3 linked regions of the Macaca mulatta genome follow. The main gene of each other region encodes a partner of the protein of the gene in region 3 in a complex. Links are inferred from orthologs where the notes say so. Each region holds a gene or a part of one and is shown on either strand. Other genes may lie near its edges.

Region 1 (4,025 bases), on a different chromosome or scaffold from region 3:
ACTTAAAACACGAAACGTATTTCTGAACACAAAGCAATAAAAGACAATACAATTCTAGAGTAATACTCAGACACTCACTTTTCTAAATCACTATTCACAAGTGAAATCCAAACAAAAAGTCCCCTAGACATTTACTAATCGTATCCTCAAATTGGCAGTCACATGAAATTCAGGAGAAAAAAATATCCAATTCAAAATATAAGGAGCTTGTTCTTTAAGAGAAAGCACTCACTGGCTAGTGATTACTAGTAAAAGAAACCGAACTGATTAAACTTTTCATCCCACTCTACGAAAGCTGCAGAGTCATCATATGCCTGGTCGGATGGAGTGTGCAGCTGTCTCCCTGTACTCCATTTCACTGAAAGGGAGCGATCAGGAACAGAGAAACAGGAAGGCCAGAATCTGTTCTAAGGCGTCTATTTCCACAGCTGGAGACAGGGTACTTACTATTCTATATACAGCATCCCCGGCTTGGACACTCAAGTGGACAGTGTTAAATTGCACGGCATGCCATCTGACCATTAATGAGTCCCCGTCAGTTTCCCCTAGCCTTGGGCCATAACCCAGTTGTTTTAAAAACACATCTCTTAGTATCTCAGTAGTGTCACTTGTGGGACAGTAATGTCGCTATGCCACAAGTGACACTACTCTCGTTCAGTATTACTTAATGGGACAAAAAAAATAAAAAACAACAAAAAAACCCAAAGCGAATTATATAACAACGACTGACCTGACCCCCTCAGCAAAAAGGCCATGACAAATAATCATATTTCACCAAACTTTACATTCACCTTCTTTAACTATTAAGAGACGAAACTCAGGTCCTTTGCAATATCCTCACCTTTCCGAGAACTGATTGTTTTTAAAGTATTGTCGCAGGTTATATTTGCAAGCAGCTTTTTAAATGCATTTCCACCATCAACATGTTGGGGCACTGACTTGGTTTTTGGCAGATTAAAGTAATAAATTTTACTCAAAATTCTTCTATTCAGAAAAATAAAAGCAGGGGGAAGGTATTCTGCTTGGATTTCCCAAACAGACAAAGTTGGTTGACTTTGAGGACCTACAGAAGACATTTGCAGAAATGGTGTTTTGCGCACCAAACTCTGGACCACAAATCATCGTGCCAGAACTCGGCCAAACATTCAGATCCGCTGGCCTGAAGCAGGGAAACTCCCGGGACAGAGGGTGAGGTTTATTTTGGTTACGCCGCAGAGTAAGCATCGAAGTTGAAATCAGTAAACACATGTAAACAAGCCGTGAACTTACCGTGGCGTCAGCTCCCGTGGAAACAGGGCTTTTGGCGCTTTTCTCCTCGGGATTCTGGGGAGCTTCTTCCGGCCCCCGGGTTACAAGAATTCTAAAATGCTGCTGCCCCGCGTTCTGATCCTGCCTGATCTTAAATGTGCACCCCTGGCCCTGCGGAGTCCTCTCTGCGGAGTTCGTCCTGCGGATTTCGGGAGCCATCCTGCCAGCCCGAGGCGGTGCCTCCGGGGCTCCCCGATCTTCCGTGGGGCTCCCTCTTTCGCTTCGGGGCTGCGTGGGGTACGAGGTGCTCCTCTCCAGCCGAATGCGGGGATACCTCACCAACCTGTCCCCCTTTGTGCCCGTGAAGCCAAAGTTGAGGTCACTGCCTGACCCCAGAGCGCCTTGCTGGGGCTGCTGCAACTGGAAGACAAAACACCGCTTCCCGGAGCTTCCAGAAGCATCTGGAACGTGCTGCAGGGACCAGCGCCTGGGCTCTGCCGCCGCTGGGCCGCCCTGGCCATCCGGGCCGAGGGGCAGCAGCCTCACCTGGCGCACGTCGGCGCTGGAGGCGCGGTGCTGGATGCGCAGGCCCGGGGCAGCCTCCTCGGGGCAGTCCACCGGGCCAGGGCACCGCACGCGGCGGCGGCCGCCGCACGTGCCGTTGACCTGGAGCCCCGGGTCCCGGGCTGCCCTCGGAGGGGAGTTCCCGGGGGTGTCCCTCGGCGAGGGCTCCCGGGAACCGCTCTGGGGCGAGGCCCTCGTGGTGGCGGTGGCGGTGGCGGAGGCCTGGTCCCCGGGGTCCGGCGTGGCGCACGGAGGCCCATCGTCGGCGCCCTCGGGCGGCCCGCACCCATCCGTGGCCCCGTCCGCGGCCTTGCGCTGCAGGGAGATCTGCACCGAGGAGCTGCACGTGGGGCGGGCGTCGATGCTGGTCAGGAGCTGCGGGATGAACATGGACGAGCTCCGCTTGAGCGCGCCCACGCCTCCCTGCAGGCCTCCGTCGCCATCCTCCCCTACGTTCTGGGCGAAGGGGTGCGGGCTGCTCCTCCGTGGTAGGGTGTGGAATGCCATGAAGAAGTCGTCTTCTCTCTCCTGGTCTAGGATCTCTGATTCGGGGGCTGTGTTGCTGCGACCAGAGCCAAAATGAAACCGAAGCCGATGGGCCATGGTGACCAGGGGGGCCAGGAGGGCGAGGGCGAGCGGCAACAACAGGCCCGGCACTGCCAGAAGTCACAAACCAAAGACACAAACTCCAAGAAAAAGTGTCCCATCTGCCAAACTGTTAGCACTGCGGCACCAGGAGCGACAGATAGCAGAAATAACCCAAGTGGCAAGCGGCATTCCAGGCATGATTGGATAAGAGCAAAAAGCTCTCATCCACACTGTGACAGAGGGTAGGGTGGCCAGAACCACATGACCGCGCTCTCCCCCTCCAATGCCAGCTTCTGGACTTAGAGGAGTTTTCCCCCACTCGCTCTTTTTTTTTAAACGGCAAGAGCCTGAAACAGCACCTTCCCAGCTGCTGCTTTTCCATCAGAAAGGAGTGGCCCCAGCAGGGCGCTCTCACAGCTGACTAAGGCAGCAAACACACTGCAAGCCACGCTGCTATAAATCTAAACCACATCACATTCACAGGGCATTTCTTTCCCAATGGAGCACAGCGCTGGGACTCTGTCTAACCTGTGCAGGGACCTGGCATGTTTAACAGCACACACGGTATTTCCCCACCTCCCACCACACATGGAATAACGACAAGTAAAATATGGCTTGGCCACCGGGTAAACCCCTTCCCAAGCATTGGATACCATGTTTCTGTTATTTATGACATCACTACACTACCAGGATGGAATGCAAACTAATAAAACAGTACTATAAATACGATTACACACCCCACAGAGTTAGTGTCCGTTTAATGCTAAATAATTAGACCAGGATCTACAAGTAACAAAATAGCTAAAGGGAGGGGAGGGAGCGCGACGTGCTACACACCCAGTTGGCCTCCTGCTATCACAGCATTTTTCATTTAAAAGGTGTATACGTGTGTGTAGCTCACACATGACTGGCAGACACCAAAGTACCAGAGAAAAGGAACCCAGCTGGAGAAAACATTGTCTCCCATATGCCAGGTAGGAAAGAAAACGTCAACGAAAAAACAAACAATAACAACAAAAAACAAAAGGAAAATTGAAGAAGGGAGTGCATGTGGATTTTTTTTGTGTGTGGTAATAATTTAACTTAAATACCATGCAGAAGAAATGCTGCCTAGAGCTGACTGCTTTCCAGTACGAAGTCAGCAATATTACCACAGTTGGGACACAAATATGGAATCTTGCCATGTTTGCAAAGGACCAAAAAAGACTTAAGAAATGGAAGGAAAGGTGCACAGTCGAAAAACTGTCCTCAGATTTGTAGTTAGCTTGGAAATATGCTGTATTTTAAACTCACTATTTTCTATGATCCAGAAACACCAATTAGTTAACAAAGAGGTTTATTTAGAGGGGGTGAAAAAATAGGAGGGGAAAATACCAAGCTGCAAGAGTGACAAAAAGTTTATTTTAAAATCTGCAAAGCATGACTTTGTCAATAGCCCTAGCATCCAGGGTGTGGTGGATTAACCCTGTGTTTACATACATCCAAATCTGTTTTCTAAAAGCATGTGTTTTAAATGCCAAAAATGACCTCTAGAGAGAAATGGAAGCTAGTCTGTGTAATGCTAGAACTTCCAAGTACTACCATAGCCACATATTGTCTCCGCTGGGTTAATAGCCAACAAAGAA
Region 2 (3,991 bases), on a different chromosome or scaffold from region 3:
TCTAAAAAGGAAATATCTTTTCATTTTTCTTTTTCGCAATGTTTCTTCCTTTGTTTTTGCTTATTTTCTATACATGACATTTTCTCAAGCCAGTCCATTTCAGTGTTGTTTACTGTCAATATGTCTGTGTATACTCAGGTTTTTACAAACAATGCTTTACAGTACAGTGATAAAAAAAGAAAGGGTGAACAACAGGGCACAAGTGAAACAAAAGCGGACCACATCTGAGACACACCATTCAATTTCTCTGCCTCAAATTCCCTTAAGTTCTCATGCCAAAGATTCTCAATATCCAAAAAAGTTCCAGAGTCAGAGGCATAACACAATATGTGACAAGACAAACACAGGAGGAACCAAATCAGAAACTGAAGAAATTTAATGGAATGTAATACAAGAGTTTCACTCTTGTTGCCCAGACTGAGTGCAATCTGTGATCTCGGCTCACTGCAACCTCCGCCTCTGGGGTTCAAGCAATTCTCCAGCCTCAGCCTTCCAAGTAGCTGGGATTACAGGCATGCGCCACCATGCTCGGTTAATTTTGTGTTTTTATTAAAGACGGGGATCTCACCATGTTGGTCAGGCTGATCTTGAACTCCTGACCTCAAGTGATCCACTCACCTTGGCCTCCCAAAGTGCTGGGATTACAGGCTTGAGCCACCGCGCCCAGCTTTCAGACTTTTTTAACTCTGAGAAATATATTTTATCCTTTGGCCAGGAACTCAAAAAAAGAAATACACTTTACACTGTGACTTAGTACATACATGTAGGAGAAAAGTTTCCCAAAACAATACTTTTCCTTACCAAATGCAATGTCAGTTTATTCTGTTCTACATTTTATTTTCAATGCTGGTAAAAACTCACATTGATTTTGTAAATTACTAATAAATCACAATCCACAATTTGAAAAACACAGGCTTAAAAATGGATATCCTTTATAATAGGATCTTTTGGGCAATTTGCCTCTACCTGTCCCTTTAGCAGGATTGGCAGGTATTTTAAAGTTGTTACCATTATTACCGGTTTCATTAAAGTAAGTGGTTCTTAAAATGTGGTCCTCTGACCAACGTGATCATCATTTGAGATAAATATAAATTCTTGGGCCCCACCCCAGACCTACTGAAACCCCCAGGTGGGGCCAAGCAATCTACAGTTTACCAAGCCCTCCAGGTGATTTTGATGCAAGCTAATATCTGGGAGCCACCCCATTGAAGAAATCAGGTCTTTATCTTCTATTTAACAATCCAGTACACGCTACTATGTGCCACTCACTACCCTAAAATCTCTACAAGTACTGACAAGAAAAAAAAAAAAAAAACACCTTATAAAGTAGCAACTATTACTGTTAGTATTCTGATGAGGAAACTGCACAGAAACTTAGCTAAGTGGTAGAACTCAAACTCCTTTTCAATTTAGCCGAGTATGCCTATCCTCTTTCTGATCAAGTATCTACTTTTACTCCTTTAGTTCAGCTACTCCTCCCCTTTTCCCTCTCAAATTCCCCACCCTGTCAATGAACCTATTTCCTAATATTACTGCCATCGTCCTAAAACAAATTTCTTTTCTAAAACAAGTCACTTAACCTTGCTTTTAGGAGTTTTTCTTTGGTCCTAGATGTCATCTTGGTATTAATTATGAAACTGAAGTTTCTTCTATTTCTGAAGACCTGTGAACCTATATGGCTCCACTGTTAATTTCTCATATATCTACTGTCCTAGCCAGTTCCACGAAACCATTGCTCTCTCCTCGGGCAACTTACTTTCTCTACCTTATCTACTACTCCCTCCTATAGGGATTCTCCCCCACCTCCGCTCATCTCCGTCCCATTTTGCAGGACTCCTCTCCAACCGAGGGAACTTCCACTTCCTGCTGGCTCCTCACCCCGGTCTCAAACCCGAGCCACTCCTCCAGGACTTCTTTCCTGGTCCCCTAGGGATCCTTAGACCCAGGAGCGGCCAGGCCAGTTGTGTCTCTCATCCCAATTCAGCTATGGGGGCGCAGGGCGCTTCGGTTCCTCCCCCAGGCGGTGCAAGATCTCTATTTGTCCGACTCTCCGAAGACCCGCTGCTCCTCATCTCCCCAGGAGCCCCCTCCCTTGGACAGCCGCTTTTCTCACGAGGGTCCCCAACCCCCTCCGAGCATTTCCTCAGACGCCCCTACTTGGAGCAAGTCTGCTCCCTGTCACCCGGGACCCCAGCCACCCTCGGCCTTCCTACCTCCCTCGGACTGGGGCCACTCCCAGTTCCCCTGCCGCCCACCCCCCACCCCGCTCTCTCCACACGGGCCGCGGCCGGGCTTCCCGGGTTCCCCTTCTCCCTGACACCCAAGCCGTCCTGGGTATTCCCGACACACCCCGCCCTCGGAGCAGGTCGTTACAGGTCACCCCCTTCTCTGGGACCCTGGCCGCTTCCGTTTCCTCAGATAACCTACTCCCCACACACTGGCCGCCGGTCAGCGCCCCAGACCGGAGCAGCTGGACGTCCCAAGGGACCTCCTGCCCTGACCCGCGTGGGTCCGGCCCTAGCCTACCTTCCTCGGGAGAACTCCGCAGCCAGAAGCCCAGCCATTCTCCCCGTAGCCCAGTCAGCGCGAACTCGCCGCCACCCCCGCCGCCTCCGCCCTGGCCCCGGCCCCGGCCCAGACCCGAAGTCCAGGCCCCCTTCCTCCGACCTCCGCCTGCGAAGTGCTGAGCTGGAGATTCCGCCCCGCGACGGCCACCAGATCTCTTACCCGCGTTACCGACACTCACCTGCCGCTGCCCCCGACCAACTCAAGCGCCACTGCCTCTACCTCGGCCGCCAGTGGCCACCGAGCGCCACCACCTCCCCCATGACAACAGGCCCACCCTCTTTCATACTTCTAACCTATCCATTGGATAATGGGGCGGCAGCTCTCCTCTCTGATTGGCTTAATTTACCCGCCCGTCATCGCTCTTTACCGCCCCTTTTCCTAAAACCGGTATTCGCCCCCGCCCGGACCTGGAGCGTCCTAGCCCAAGCTTTAGTTGTAATTGGTTGAGGGTTGGGCAATTCGAAGTTATGATAGGCTGCTAAAAGTGTCTGTTAAGCTAACTGGCAAGAGATGTGACGGCTAAGGTTGATTCACGCTTGTGCATGGTTTGGTTGCGCAGTGGAAGCAAAGGAGGAGTAGACGCTCACATCAGTGGTTACCCGGGAAGGGTTAACTCTTTGTTGTAGAGATTTCTCTGTAAACTCTTCCGCTTCTCCAGCTCCCTTCCTGCAAGGAGAAGCTTATCTCTGCTAGCTTTACTCATAGGGGTAGTACTTACAAAACACCAACAGCAGAGGTTGTGTTTAAGTAGTGTTTCCAAGCCCTGGGGAGAAAGGTATCAGAGAGATAAAAAATGTCCCCTTCTTTTCTTTGGTCTCAATGCACCCAGTTTCATTGAAGTTCTTTCCAGGCGCCTCCATGCTAAAGGGCAAAGCGCAAACTTTCAATTTAGCAGAAATCAGTTAACTTCGGTTGCAATTGTAAATGTCGTCAATAAACTGAAGTGGCGTATTGAGAGTTCTCCAGCTTCCAGATCCACTCCTGGCTGACCCCTGCCAATTGACCAGTCATTAGCAACTTTCTTTCTTTTTCTTTTTCTTTTTTTTTTTTTTTTTTGAGACGGAGTTTCTTGTTGCCCAGGCTGGAGTGCAATGGCGCTATCTCGCTCATTGCAACCTCCGCCTCCCAGGTTCAAGCGATTCTCCTGCCTTAGCCTCCCGAGTAGTTGGGATTATAGGCATGAGTCGGGGTTTCTCCATGTTGGTCAGGCTGGTCTCGAACTCCCAACCTCAGTTGATCCGCCGGCCTCAGCCTCCCAAAGTGCTGGTATTACAGGCGTGAGCCGCCACGCCGGGTTCGCAACTTTCTAATAAGCGGGCCACAATATATATACCCTTGTGATGCTCTGGAAATGAGAATTCTGCTTCCCCCCACCTCTCACTGCCACTTTGTTTTTCTGTTCAGCAGTTCTTAAATAGCCCTA
Region 3 (4,098 bases):
TTTTCCAAAAGAGATTAATAAAATAGAGACTGAGTCATCCCAGTAACATTAAGAATTTTTTTTTTTTTTTTTTTTTTTTTTTTTTTTTTTGAGACGGAGTCTCGCTCTGTCGCCCAGGCTGGAGTGCAGTGGCGCGATCTCGGCTCACTGCAAGCTCCGCCTCCCGGGTTCACGCCATTCTCCTGCCTCAGCCTCCCCAGTAGCTGGGACTACAGGCGCCCACAACCGCGCCCGGCTAATTTTTTGTATTTTTAGTAGAGACGGGGTTTCACCGTGGTCTCGATCTCCTGACCTTGTGATCCGCCCGCCTCGGCCTCCCAAAGTGCTGGGATTACAGGCGTGAGCCACCGCGCCCGGCCAACATTAAGAATTTAATCTACAAACACCAATTTAGCAGGGAAAGTGACTCCTGCCAGTCCTTTCCAACATATTATTTTTCTTTTAAAGAAAATATCTATAAGCACAATATATTACATTTAGATGATGGAGGAGAAATGGTTTATCACAATTCTGAGATGGCAGAATTAAAGCTTGGATTGACTCTTCAATGCTGGCTGGCTTTTCCAACTCATTATTTCAAATATAGATATTATAGATTCCTTTGGTTTACAAAAGGCTACCTTAACCCTCCAGAGAAGATCTATGGACACTAGTAGCTAGCTGCAGGAAAGCATTTTACAAGCCTACTAGAAAGCCAATCTTTTTCTCTACTCAAACTAGATTTTGTTCTGGTAACATCTCTCCATTCTTGCCTTTTTCCCCCATTTCAAGTTGCTTCAGGTTTCTGATTGTTTCAGAACGCACCTTCTAGCCATTTTTCCTTCACCTCCATTCCCCTTCATTTAAACCTTGTCCCTCCTTTCTTTTCACCACATTTATTTCCCAAAGGGCTCCTAACACTGCAGTCTTTACGTCTCACTTAAGAGGGTGAGCAACCACTTCATGAAAATGTGTGGCGAGGCCTCAGCCTGCATAATCCCAGCACCACTCAGTAACTGGGGAGGAGAGTTTTAAGTGTGACCTGCTGTGGACAGAGGCAGCTTTATCCCAAAGAAAATTAAGGTTCGGGATCCCTTCCAAGGAAATGCATTCAGTCAGCCCCATTTCTGTACAATATGCAAAAATTATATTTTAGATTTTCTTTTAAAGGACCCCCTGAACTACATGAAGTTCAGCCTCCAGACCTAGACGGCCCCCCGGTTTGGAAGAAAACCTCCTGCCTCACCAAAACAGCATGCTAATAGTGCTGAAGTCAAGATCACCCACAAATCAACATACGGGCAACAGTGTTGCTGGTCTCCAAACACACCCAGTTGTGTGTAACAAGGACACCACAGGAAAGGCAACTCTTCAAGTACCTTTCTTACCTGAACAATCCTAAATATTAGCCCCAACTACATATTTTGTCTGACATTAAGGTCAACAGCCTTCAAATGAGCTTTCCAAATGACTTAAGATTTTAGGGAGCCTTTGTATTTGCAGTTTTTTCGCAACTCCCTCCAAAAGGCCAGCAAAGGATACATTTACTATAGTCATGGGCAGTAATTCTCAGACTTAAGCCAGCTAAAAATCGCCTGTGAGAGCTGGTTACGATGCAGATATGAGTCTCACCCCCGAATTTCTGCATCTGTAGGTCTAAGGCGGGGTTCAAGGGGCTCCTCCCAGGTCTCAGGAGGTTGTACACTGAACATAGCAGGATGGTGGCCGCAGCTGTAGTTCTATCACTGTGTGACCTTGACACAGTGAGAGGAAATACTCATTTAGAGAAAACGTAAAATAACGTGAAGAGTGAGTGAGATGGTAACCGGAACTCAGAAATGCAGGTGGTGTGTGACCCACGGTATTTTGCTAGGGTGTGGCTGGGCACGACTCCTCCACCGGAGAAGAAGCTGCAGAATCGATTTATGAGGGTCTCGGGAATGCAAAGGCACACAGATTAGTCTCACCTAGAAGTCACGTTTCATTTTAATCTCCAGGCAGACAGCGCAGCAGCAAACCTGGGGCTGTGATGGGCCCCACACCCTCCGCCCCCTCTCTCGCCCTCGTCCACGCCTAGACTGCAGGAAAGGGGTCTTCGCACACAAAGCCAGACCCCCAGGAGTGGGAAGATGAAACCAGAACAATTCGAACAAGCAGAGCAAAACAGATCGGAATTACAGACTTCAGGACGTAGCAGAGAAAACCAGCTGAGACAGGGCGCCACTCACTAGGTGATTCTTTATTCCAAGTCGGGGAACGGAGGAAGACGAGAGGGGGGGCCCCCGGGTCCGGTGAAACGCTCTAGTAGGAGGAATGCGGCTCCTTCACGACCCCTAGGGCACCCTTTGCCCCCGCCCGGGATCCGAACTAAGATGTGGCGACCCCGGCCCGCCCGCCCCCAACGGGGCTGCCGCCGCGACCCCGAGATGCACCCTCCCGGATCCCCCAGCCCGGGCCCAGCCTCAGGAAGTGGCGGGGCGCCCAGCGGGAGCGGGAAGCGCGGGCGGCCACGCCCAGCCGGGTCGTGGGGTCGCCCATGGCCGGGAGGGGAACGCCGCCCGCGGCCATCCCCGTCCCTCCCCAAAGCCAGGCCTCCCCGGCCAGCCGCCTGGGCTCCCGGCGCGCTCACCGCCTTCATGGCGGAGGCCATGTCGTCGTAGCGCTCCGCCTGCTCGGCCAACCGCGCCCGCTGCAGCAGCTGCTCCCGGTCCCCCATGTCGCTCGCGGCTCGGCCTCGCTTCGCGCCTCACGCCGCTGGCTCGCTTGCCCGCCCGCCGGTCAGTCCGCTCCCCGGTCGCTGCGGAGGCCGCCGCCGCGCACGCGCACTGGCTCGCCGGCCGACCCGGAGGCTGCAGGCTGCAGGCAGCGCCGCCGCTCGCGCCCTCTCGCTGGCTCGCCCCGCGCGCTGTGGCTCGCGCCGCGGACACCGCCGAGGGAGGAGAGGCGGTCGCGCTGGGGGATGGGAGGACGAAACGACGCCTGCGCAGTGAGAGTGGCCAGGCCGGGCGGCGGGGAGCGGCTGGAGTGGGAGGGGGGAAGGGCGGGCCGGCCCTAACGGTCTATTTCAAGGTGACGTCACCTACTATAAATAGCCACCGCCGCCGCCGCCCCGCTTGAAAGCCGCGCAGGCGCTCTGCGAGTGCTGCATTTTACCGCCGCAGAGATGGAGGTGGAGAAGGGAAAGCCAGGCAGGAGACTGCGGAGCCGGAGGAGGCGGCGCGGTGATGGCGGCTGCACGGGGAGTGCATTGTCATAGCGCCACCCTGAAACGCACCACTTCAACCACGTTAGCGATGTGGCTTGAGAAGGGCCCCAAAAGCAAGCAAACCTACCCGCGGAGAAGCCGGGAGGCCGCGTGCCCCAAGGGGCGGGTCAGCCCAGCCCCGCCCCGCCCCAGCCGTCCCGCCCGCCCCGAGCCCTGCCTGTCCGTGGGTTCTGCTAGGCCACACCCTGTGCTTGGGTCTGCACTGGTCCGGGCAGAATCGAGTCCGACCCTCGGGGACGGCCCCGCCACACACACAGACACATGCAGTCGCACACATCCTGAGACATAGCCTTGGGCAGGCTTGTGCCTTCCACCAGAGGGGACTGGATGACCAGGCCGAGACAAGTAATATTCAGGACACATTAGGAGCCAGCCCAGGGCTAGTCCCGTACGAGCATTCTCCTCTTTAATCCTCACTACCCAGCCCACGTGGACACAGCTGGTCTCCCCATATTTAAAATGTGGAACCTGAGGAAAAGCAAGGTAGTGACTTGCTCAAGTTTACACAGCCTGTTAAGTGGTGGGGCCAGGATCTGAGTCCAAACCCAGGCTGGACTTCCTCTTGTGGCAAAGAGCTGGGGTGGCCCAACTGGCTGGTCACTGAGCCCCTCCCAATCCTGGCTGGCATTGGATACTGAGGGTTCCTTGTGCCAGGCCCTGGGCTGGGCTGCCCGACAAGCTAGGAATATAATGCTTAAAACAGGGCCCCAACTGACTTCCAACATGCCAAAGGCAGTGTAGGAGAAGGGGCCTTGGGATCGCTGAGAATTTACTGAGCATCTACTGCATGCTCAGCCCGCAGGGATAAGCTGGATCTTGGAGTAGAGTCAGGAAAGAGATTAAGGCCTGGGGTA

Evidence for each region. Proteins that work in one complex are often made in the same cells at the same time.
Region 1: the proteins of YWHAH (region 3) and NEDD4L are in contact, whole or in part, in a crystal structure (PDB 7NMZ), measured with the Homo sapiens proteins. The link is inferred for Macaca mulatta from reciprocal best matches to the Homo sapiens genes YWHAH and NEDD4L. Residues at the interface, in NP_003396.1 of Homo sapiens: Arg12, Glu15, Asn39, Asn43, Leu44, Ser46, Val47, Lys50, Arg57, Lys125, Arg132, Tyr133, Gly174, Leu177, Asn178, Val181, Tyr184, Glu185, Leu221, Leu225, Asp228, Asn229, Leu232, Trp233; in NP_001138439.1 of Homo sapiens: Pro444, Arg445, Ser446, Leu447, Ser448, Ser449, Pro450, Thr451, Val452, Thr453, Leu454, Ser455.
Region 2: the proteins of YWHAH (region 3) and NUMB are in contact, whole or in part, in a crystal structure (PDB 5YQG), measured with the Mus musculus proteins. The link is inferred for Macaca mulatta from reciprocal best matches to the Homo sapiens genes YWHAH and NUMB. Residues at the interface, in NP_035868.1 of Mus musculus: Arg57, Arg132, Tyr133, Leu177, Asn178, Val181, Glu185, Ile222, Leu225, Asn229; in NP_001129547.1 of Mus musculus: Gln274, Gly275, Ser276, Phe277.

Annotation. Positions count from the first base shown.
Region 1 is NC_133423.1:22,744,215-22,748,239, forward strand, and holds the start of NEDD4L (E3 ubiquitin-protein ligase NEDD4-like), read right to left. Parts: upstream 2,801-4,025; 5' UTR 2,416-2,800; coding exon 1,270-2,415; intron 1-1,269. UniProt on the Homo sapiens protein: E3 ubiquitin-protein ligase that mediates the polyubiquitination of lysine and cysteine residues on target proteins and is thereby implicated in the regulation of various signaling pathways including autophagy, innate immunity or DNA repair.
Region 2 is NC_133412.1:146,638,774-146,642,764, forward strand, and holds the start of NUMB (protein numb homolog), read right to left. Parts: upstream 2,801-3,991; 5' UTR 2,747-2,800; intron 1-2,746. UniProt on the Homo sapiens protein: Regulates clathrin-mediated receptor endocytosis. Plays a role in the process of neurogenesis.
Region 3 is NC_133415.1:19,557,410-19,561,507, forward strand, and holds the start of YWHAH (14-3-3 protein eta), read right to left. Parts: upstream 2,801-4,098; 5' UTR 2,696-2,800; coding exon 2,609-2,695; intron 2,211-2,608; exon of another isoform or gene 2,073-2,210; intron 1,615-2,072; exon of another isoform or gene 1,537-1,614; coding exon of another isoform or gene 1,522-1,536; intron 1,395-1,521; coding exon of another isoform or gene 1,279-1,394; intron 1,263-1,278; exon of another isoform or gene 1,237-1,262; coding exon of another isoform or gene 1,226-1,236; intron 1-1,225. UniProt on the Homo sapiens protein: Adapter protein implicated in the regulation of a large spectrum of both general and specialized signaling pathways. Binds to a large number of partners, usually by recognition of a phosphoserine or phosphothreonine motif.